Mus musculus: one gene and its partner. The protein of the gene in region 2 purifies or fractionates together with the protein of the main gene of each other region. This does not show direct contact. Links are inferred from orthologs where the notes say so. Each region holds a gene or a part of one and is shown on either strand. Other genes may lie near its edges.

Region 1 (4,792 bases), about 110 Mb from region 2:
TTAGCCAAAAGGCTGAGAAGCGATCGAGCCTCTTACAAGTTAGACAGGCATTCCATGGCTGAGCTATAGTTCTCGCCTAGGAAGGGGAGACGTAAACATGTTGTTCATACCCCTATATCCAGTATCTAGAACTGTTACAGAGCAATCAGGCTAGGTGATTCTTGGCCTCTTATCCAAAGAGTTCCAGGACAGCCAGGGCTATACAGAGAAACCCTGTCTCGAAAAACAAAAAAACAAACAAACAAACAAAAAAGAATCAATCTTTTTTACAAAGCTTTAGGTGGAGGGCTGTGACAGTGCTGCACAGTGGTTGAGTCCTTGCCTAGCTCTGTGAGGTCTATAGTTTTTCCTAGCATCTTCCCCTCTCCCCAAAGCTGTAGCTGATAGGCATGGCGGCACATGCTAGCTTTTGAGAGGCAGAAGGATTAGGAGTTCAAAGTCACTATCAGCCACCTAGTGACTTGAGTCGCTGATTTAAAAATCCAGGAAAAGGAGGCAGGGAGGGTGAGTTAGATCTGTCTCCACAACAGGTAGTAGAGCCAGGAAGTTGTTATTTTCTCAGAAAACAATGACAAACTTAGCAAGTTCTCGCTTACAGCAGCCCCTCTTTTCCTGGGGGTCCAGTAGGCTGAAACCCAGCCCAGACGCCTCTCACACACGCCGTATGTACTTCCATTGCAGCTGGATTGGCAAACTCTTTGGGCTGAGTCCATTTGAGCCCTGGACGACGAAGGACAAGGTGGAGCGGGTAAGTCTTGGCATAGCAAGCCTCTCACCAGGCAGAGCGCTGTGGAGGAGGAGAAGTCAGATCAGTTTGGCTGGCTTGGATAGTTGCGGGGCTTCTATGTGTGGTGAAGTCCTCCTGGCTGAGGCTAGCCCTTCTGTTCTGCTTTTGGCTCACACATACTCATACTGTTTCACCGTCTTAGTATAGTCTCCCTGTGAGGTCATCCTTGTCAGCATTCAAACATGCATAATAGCCCCCACGCCCTTTCCTTTCTGAAGGCCACACTCTCCTTCCCAGGTCCCTCTGGCCATTTTGCTATTTGTTGTGTTCCCTTACAACTTATTCTGGGTTCTGTTGTTGTTTTAAGACAGGGTCTCTAGGCCAGGCTGGCTACAAACCCACTCTATAGGCGAGGTGCCTTGGATTCCTAGCCTGTCTGCCTCTGCTTCTAAGTGCTGGGACTGCAGGTGTATGCTACCATGCCTGGTTTTCCCTTCAGAAGCTGATCCCAGGAGATTCTTGCGTCATTCTTTGTTTAATCCATTTCAATCTCATTGTATCCTCCTCTGTCCTGAAACTGTGCTTTCCAAGGCCACCCATGACCCCACGCTGCCACCTCTCAGACAGTTTTCTGATCTCACCTCGCTCCTGCTGTGAGCAGCATTTGTTGAGGGGCCACATTTCTTCCTTTTGAAATGGTGTCTTAGCACCTTTGCCTGGCCCAGGCTTTGTTCTCTGCCTTTCCCTTCTCACACTGAGCTGTGCTGGAGGCCCTGTTCCTGCTGCCCTCTCCTCCTGGTTGCTGTCTGTCCTGACGGGGTCACAGCCTCAGCCGTTCTCACTTCTGTTTATAAATTACATTCATCCCAGTTGCCAGCTGCTACTGCTGGAGGCCGTGCTGCCATCGCACCCATATTGAATTGTTTTATGTGGAACTACGCAGACATAGTAACGTTGTAAATGGAACTACAAGCTGATTTTTTTTTCTTTAGATCTTACCAGGTGCTTTCTGCTTTATTTTGAGATGGGGTCTCGCTGTGTTCACTGTGCAGCCCAGGCTGACTGGGAACGTATGCTGACCTTTACTCCGCCTCTCCCATGCAGGGACCAGAGACCTGTGCTGTTTCTTGCTGTTGCAAGCTTGTGTTCTGTCCTTGAACTCTCGCCTCAGTGACGGCCCTTTCTGTGCTGTCCGTGTTAAGACATGGAGTGATCCCCTGCAGTTTTGGTTCCTAAGCCATCATTGCCCCACCCTGCAGTGCTCAGGGTGCTCTGCGTCTGTCCCAGCACATTGCCAGGAGCCGTGTGCGATGGGAAGGACTTGATATATGGCTACCATGACTGCAGACATCAGATTTGAGCTATATGTAATTTTGGTTCACTGAAAGTGAGATTTGAATTATGCTTGACTAAATGGCTTCTGTGTTAGATGATCAAGGGACAGCAGCCCTCAGCAGATGCCAGGTCGGGTCACTCCTCATTCCTGCCTTCCTGTTCATCATTAGGAACATGCTTCTAGTAATATTGGAACTTTGCTACATACTAAAGGCAGAGCGCATAACTATCTCTCCTCTGCCTGCTGTTACCCAGGCAACAGTCCTCTTTCCTCTCTCAGTGAGCCTCTTGCTGCCAATCTTGTCTGCCTGCAGTATGCCGAGTCTAAAGCCCTGGCTCTTCCTTCTCAAGTCTTGTCTGACTCATTGATTATCTGCTTCCTGCATACTCAAATCTCACTGGGAAGATGCCAAGTAAGCACATGACAGCATCTCAGCCTGAGAACTGTAGATTTTCTTTCTGTTGGTGAGATGCAGCCAAACCATCCCCTAAGAGCCGAAGCATAGCAAAGAATTGCTACCAGTCCCAGGGAACAGCATCCCTCTGATAGACTGCCTTAAAAGCAGACACATCTCCATGGTGTCCTTTCCGTGGCCGTGAGCCCCGTTGTCGGACACTTGCTCTTACCTTGGCAACTGAGAAAGTATGAATATAATAGACAGACAGGCTCTGGGTTTGGCTTGCAGAATGCCCTAGAGCAGGCAGTAAACACACTGGGGTCCTCTCTGCGTTGCTCTTTGTGGAGGTCACAGGATGGGACCTGCTTGAGGTCCATGCACAGAGGAATCTGCTTTGGTGCTTTGTGATGCACGGGGCTGCCTTGTTCATCCTTCCTTAAACAAGACTGGTTTGGCTTCAGGCTTTGTGGTGAGCATAGTTGAGTATAATTGGAGCAAAAAAGGCTAATGGGTCTAGGCATGATGTTATAACTGCAGTCCCAACACTTGGGAGGCTGAGACAGAAGCAGTACTACAAGTTTGAGGTCAGCCTGGGCTACATAGTGGGTTCCTAGGAGTTCCAGTGTGAGACACTGTGTCAGAATCCCTAAACCAGACCAAAAAGTTAAAACTGAAATAGCTATAGCCCAGCGATCCAGCATAAGAAAATGGGGGTGCAGAGGTCTCCTACCTTAGCTCTTATCTGAATCTCTAGGTGGAGAGATAGCTCCTGCCACGTTCACTAGGCTCAGCTCTGCGCACATGTGCCTGTGGGGCTGCTCTTTCAGGGTCTCTGTCCTGTGGTTCTGGGGTATGGGAGACCTGCCTCAGGCCTTTGATGATGATTTCTTATTTGTTCTGCTTTTGTGAGTTCCAGAATCAAAGATTGTTGTGGGGTCTCTGACGACCCTTGCCTCAGTGATGAGCCTCAGGCCAGCTTGGGGGTCTGAGGGGTGGCACTCTGTCTCAGCATTCTCTGTGTCTCTTTGTCACAGATACATATCTCAGACGTGATGCCGACCGACCTGCCTGGCCTGGAAGATCTTGGTGTTCAGCCCACACCACTGGAGCTCAAGTCCATTGAGGTGCTACGGCGGCATCGTACCTACCGATGGCTGTCTTCTGAGATCGAGGAAACCAAGCCTGCCAAGACAGTCAACTATTAGTGTCACCCAGGTCACCTGTGTGCAGTAAAAGAGTCACTCTATTAAATATCCGAGGATTCGGTCTATTGCAAGTGTCTTTCTTGACTGATCAGAGAGGAACTCACAGCCATTCAGAACTGAGGCTTGTTTTCTATTAAATAACTATATATAATATCGACACACACAACTGTTCTCTGAAATGTTAGAGGGTTTGGAATTCTTATACCAAGGCCCTATCCTCAAAGTGGAAATATTGCTATGATCTCAGGCTGCATGGTTATCTAGAAGCATTTGGTATAAATGAGCACATAGACACCTACAGCTGATCTGAATTCACTCACACTTGAAGTGCTTTAGACTTGATTGTAAGGGTGGCCTGTTGTCATGTGGTGGAACCCATGGTGTGTCATCTCATGGTAGAGAGAGGAAGAGAGGAGAAGGGAGCAGGGAATGCAACCTCGTTTTTTCTTTTATGGAGTGCTGGGCATCGAACCCAGGGCCTTGTACATTTAAGGCAAGCTTCTTAAATATGAGCCACACCCTTCCCCTCAACCTCTTTTGTGACAACAGTGGTCACTCATGATGACAGAAGATGTGGTCACCTAAACCAAGCCAGGGCTTCTACCACACTGGCAGTGAGTATCCATGGGAACTTTGGAGCAAACCAGTAGCTGCTGTTTCTAAAAGGGAGGGAGGGAGGGAAGGAGCGAGGGAGGAAGAGGGAGAAGGAGGGAGGGAAAGAGAGGGAGGGAGGGAGGGACTCCAGGTTTTTGAGTAATAACAGACTAAGAAGTCGAATGACTTTCCGTACATAGCTGATCTGAATCTCACTGTAAAACCTGTGGTTTGTTTCAGGAAACCATGAAGGATGAATGGACAAAGCCTGTCAGGTTTACATCCTAGAAGGTTATGGAGTGCACGGGAGGTGTAGTGGAGCACAAAGTGTATTTGAGGAACCCTTCCCCGAGAAGGAAGAGGTCCAAGAGAGTGAGAGTTGTGGGTTAGGAAGGTGGGGAGCATTTAAGAGAAACAAGTCCAGGCATAGTAAGTGAAGGCTTTTACCTAGAAAGATGCTGCAAGGAAGGAAAGGGGACCCTTTGGGAAAGGAGAGAGGGCAGAGAGAAGACTAGACTGGACACCACTAAAGC
Region 2 (4,942 bases):
AATAACTGGTACTTAAAATTCCTAAGACAAAATTACAAGTGAGAATATCTGTTTACTGTTTCTTGAGTACATTGTTAAAAATACGTATCAGACATTCTGTTTCAGAGTGGCTAGTAAATTTCCTGTTGTATCTTTAGAGGCAGCAACTTATCTTAAAAGCCAAATTATAGTTGGGGTAAGCAGAAAGTTTTAAGCAAATAAAGAGTAAATCATAAAAGCTGCTATAAATAGTACTAAAGGGCACCTATCTCTACCACAGACACTTCCCCCAGGTGTTAGTCAAAGAAGACTTTGTGTCTCTTCCTGAGTGCTAAGGTAAACAACTACTGGCTGCTTAGAAACAGCTGATAGTATAACATATGGGATACTTTAAATAGATAAATCTGTATGACATGAAATTATATCCAAATATAGCAATATTTTGGTAATGTGAGGGTCTTCATGTAAAAGCATTTACGTATAAAGTCTCATTTGTGAAATCAATATTCTGGGCGAATGAACACATTCTTTCAAAACAAAAACCAAACAAAAAAAAAATAGCTACACAGAGCACTCCTCTGAGAAAATGTTAAAGGTTAACTATGAGGCTCATGGCAAAATTTAATTTCAACTTTCATCTCTTCCTACTAATCCACACCAAAAATACTTGAATCATAGCAAGAAGAAACAGCCAAGCAAAGCACCCAAGAGACCAGAGTTGCCCACACATCAACAGCAGCAGCACCTGAAGATTAGGCAACTCAAACCTTCAGTCCCAGCTAACTCAACGGGGCAGGGGCTCTTCACGTTCAATATAATAAAAACAGGATTTCACTTGCATATCCCATTTCAAGAGAACTACCATATAGCCACATCTGCTACAATATGCTTTCCTGCAATTTTTAACCACTTTGTACCTTACCTTATATTGTTCATTGGGACCCAGTTTGTTCCATGGCTCTGGGTTGTTCTTTCTGTCCCAGCTAAAATGGATAAAATATTGTAATTATTATAGTAATGAAACACTACTTACAATAGTATTTTAAAAATACTTCCTTAGAAGCTAGTACTTTGAATAAGTCAATCTCACTTTTTATTAGGCATTACTTTCATTACAGAGCTAAACAGAAGTAGAGTTTATAGGTAAACAAGCATGTAACTGGTAAAATCACAGAACACCACTCTTTGGGATATCTGTCTACATCCCTGTCTTTATAACAGAAATGTTTGTATTTGGCTTTTATCATTTTCCAACTAAAAAAAAAGACCAGTTTATTGAGGAAAAAGTAGGTTACACTCACATACAACAGGAATCGTGGTTACGTATTTCATAAAAAGCAACTGCTGTCAGGCATGATGGTGCATGCCTTTAATTCCGGCACTAGAGAGGCCAACCTGATTTACACAGTGAGTTCCAGGACGGCCAGATGTATAGTGTGAGGATGCCTCCAGCCATAACATAAACAAGCAAACAAACAACAACAACAAAAAAAACCTCAAGTGCTATCCAACCTTCAAAATGTAAGAGTTGGTATTAGCAATTCTACTTGACCAATATGAAACTACAACTTGGGGAGGCGAGATTGAGATGAGCTCACGAAGCCAGCCAAGTAAAAGTCAGCAGCCCTGGGCTGACTGCAAAGCTACAAACTGTAGTTGTTTCTACTCTGTGACTTCTCCCGTGACTGGGGCCCCCAGCCAGATGATTAGCCATCCAAATATTAAAGCATTTACACTCACCTGACATCTGGATTAAACAGTGCCAAGCGCATCACATACAGTGCTGCTCCAGTACCCCCTGCTCCAATAAATACGAAGAGAGGAATCAACTAGAAACAAATAGACAAAGAAGAGTAGCCATCATCACATCCCTTGATCTTGTCCAAATAAGGGCACACTGGTTCCTTTCTATATAAGCCAACCTCTAAATCTGCTATTTGGCTAATTTGTCCTACAATGGGAATAACGGTTGAACTTGGATTGAAGCAGTGTTTCTTTCAATTGTATTCTAAAGGCATGATCTCTGTAAAAAGACATCAGGATGGTGTTGGCTTAAGAGTCCAACTTCCTTACATGGATTAAATTATATGAACAAATAATCCTATCAAGTACATTCACCTCTGTAAGTCTTGAACAGCATTCCCATTAAATTTCATTGCTTCCCTGGAAGTAACGAGATATACTTCCCTGGTAGGCTGGGAGCGGAATCTCTTCGGGAACTACTGAAAAGTGGCCCTTAAAAGTTCTGTGAGCCAGGCAATGTGGCGTACACCTTTGATCCAGCAACTGGGAAGCAGAGGCAGGCAGATTTCTGAGTTTGAGGCCAGCCTGGTCCACAGAATGAGTTCCAGGACAGCCAGGGCTATACAGAGAAACCCTGTCTCGAAAAACCAAAAGTTCTGTGAACATAATCTCTGTGAAATAAAGAGCATAACTAGCGGACAGAAATGCCTATTAAAAGCACTAGTTTTAGGAATGAACTCTGAAAACAGACTGCAGTTAATTTTGCTGAGTATTTAGAAAACCAGGCTTAAGGCAAAGATGAAGGCCCATCAGTGGGAGTTTTAGGTACACAGCATCCTCTATCGAGCTATACTGGACGAAAGTGACAGGTCAAGAAAACTTAAATCAATTTTGCCAGTGTCAAGTTTTCCAAGCAAAGTGGGGATTACACGATGACGATCCCTTGCACTTCTGAAGGTTTGGTGGTGCAATGCAGTGACTCTAAAAGCCGCAAAGAGCAGCATAACAAACTTGGCCTCTCTTGGATTCTAATCACTCAACGTACCACTCACCCCTCTTGGGACCAAGTAATCTGAGAGCCACAGTGTTCCAACACTCAGAATGTTTACCTTTCTCCCTGATCTCTGCCACCTTCTGCTTCAGGCAACCTCACCTCCACCCCAGGTAGAGGCTTCAAGCAATCAGGTCATCCCAACAACAGAATGTAACCCCAAGGAACAGAGAAAAGAGAACGTCCCCAGGGGACACGGGCAGGAGCAACCACAGCTAAGAGGCCACCCTGGCAAAGACCGTGAACTTACGCTGGGATGCTTCTTGGCTTGCCCGAGGATCTGGCGGAGCATGTTTGCGGCACAGGCCTACCTACACGCAGAGAGAAGATTAGGACACACGCTAAGCCGCTTCTGCAACCTGGCTGAGCGGACGTCCAAAGTCACCCAGGACCTCCTACCTGAAGGACCCCTGGCGCTGAGGGCAGCCTGCAGCAGGAAAGCCCGGATGCGGCTGTCCTCTAAGGTGCCTGAATAGGTAGTCAGCCCTCGCGCGATTGCCCTAAATGTCCCGACCACTTCTTCGCATTTTTGAGTTCATGATCCATCAGTTCTCCACCATGCATCTTTTTGATAGGTTTATTTTTTTATTTTTTGCATAGCAGGCAGAGCGTCTCGACTGGTGAGACAGGCACTTTTCAGGACGGCATGCGTATAGACCAGGGTCATCCGGCGGTCCGCTGGCAGTGCGCTCGGCGGGCGCGGCTTCCTTAGCGGCGCCTCCCGGCCAGGGCCGCGCGTGGACGCGCTTGGGGGCGCGCGTGTGGGGCGCGCGCCGCGCCGCCCGGAGGGCCCCGGAGGGAGCTGCCAGGCGCCTCTGCAGGCTCAGCGCCCAGATCCCGCAGGACAGGTCGAGTCTCCAGCCGCCGGGGTCAACGGCTGCGGTTTAAGACTGCAGCTGCTTCCTGACTTTCACTGGCGCTTAGGGACAGAAGTTGAAACACTAGTAAGTGACTTAAAGCTGGCCATAGTTTCTACAATGTGATTTCTAGATTCTTAGGTCGTGGCACTATTGAAGAGTTGTCGCCCCCCAAAGAAGTTTTGCAACATGCCACCATCTCTTTTTGGTCCAGATATTGAATCCTTAAAAGTATCTTCATTGGCCGTGTTGCTGAACTTAACCTTTTCTACCATCCTAAGTCAATGTTCATTTATCTCTTTGCAAATTTACTTTTACCCAAAAGTTCTTCCTTGGGGCAGGTTTAATGGGCACTTTCGAATCACAGCCAACAATTTGGACTCCCTACACATGTTAAAACGTTTCAAATAATAAGGAGAGGGTTTCGCCGAAACTGCTAAACTGAACAGGTAGCATTAGCCCAGTACAGGCTTCAGGTGGCGGTGTATAAGGAAGACAATTCACATGAAGGCATGAAGCACACAGTCTACCATTTAAAAGGGAAGGCAAAGTAGGAGCCACATCCGAGGCAGGGACCACTTATGCAAGGACTTTATGTTCAGGACTTTCAGAAGTTCACCAATAAGATTATATGGTTGAAAAGAATTCCTTTGGCTATGAAGAATGGAGTAGATAAAAGGGCTATTGTAGTTGTCCATGTGAGAGAATTTTTAGTTGTCCTGGGGGTGGGGAGGAATGTACTGATTGGGGAAAAAAAATCACCAAAAATATCAGAGAAAATTTTGTGGTATCAACAGAACTTGATAGTTGGATGGTTATGGGTGAATGAGTGAAAAAGAATAAAAAAAAAAGAGTAAATCAGAACTTTAGTGGTGAGCAGCTGTGAACATATCCATGCCAATTACTGAAATAATGGATGAGTGTGTATGCAAAACCCACGGTATTTCTCGAGAGCAGAATACTCTAGAATATCTAGAGTAGACAATAGATGGAGTGGTTTTGTTTCTTAGGAAATGAGCTGTATGACTGCTAAAGTCAAGTCACTTTACTTTCCTCACTCTGTCTCCTCAGTAGGACATAGAGTGAGAAAAGACTCAGGATCAAACTGAGCAATTCAAGTATGTTTGTTTGAATAAAACAAGGAGGGGGCCATGGATGATAAACTGAAGGTTATGCATATAAAGGCTGGCATGGTTTGTTTTCTCTCTCTCTCTCTCTCTCTCTCTCTCTCTCCCTCTCTCTCTCTCAGAAAACTTTTGCTAAGTACCTACTCTGTACCATATCTTGTTGCTTTTGCTTTTGGTTTGGCAGG

Evidence for each region. The genes of interacting proteins can lie anywhere in the genome.
Region 1: the proteins of Ndufa4 (region 2) and Ndufa9 fractionate together in Homo sapiens (co-fractionation; 3 studies listed by BioGRID and IntAct, with this or other methods). This does not show direct contact. The link is inferred for Mus musculus from reciprocal best matches to the Homo sapiens genes COXFA4 and NDUFA9.

The regions. Positions count from the first base shown.
Region 1 is NC_000072.6:126,820,892-126,825,683, reverse strand, and holds the end of Ndufa9 (NADH dehydrogenase [ubiquinone] 1 alpha subcomplex subunit 9, mitochondrial precursor), read left to right. Parts: intron 1-505; exon of another isoform or gene 506-681; coding exon 682-748; exon of another isoform or gene 749-787; intron 788-3,190; exon of another isoform or gene 3,191-3,494; coding exon 3,495-3,665; 3' UTR 3,666-3,821; downstream 3,822-4,792. UniProt on the Homo sapiens protein: Accessory subunit of the mitochondrial membrane respiratory chain NADH dehydrogenase (Complex I), that is believed not to be involved in catalysis. Required for proper complex I assembly.
Region 2 is NC_000072.6:11,904,301-11,909,242, forward strand, and holds the start of Ndufa4 (cytochrome c oxidase subunit NDUFA4), read right to left. Parts: upstream 3,151-4,942; 5' UTR 3,066-3,150; coding exon 3,024-3,065; intron 1,809-3,023; coding exon 1,720-1,808; intron 963-1,719; coding exon 902-962; intron 1-901. UniProt on the Homo sapiens protein: Component of the cytochrome c oxidase, the last enzyme in the mitochondrial electron transport chain which drives oxidative phosphorylation.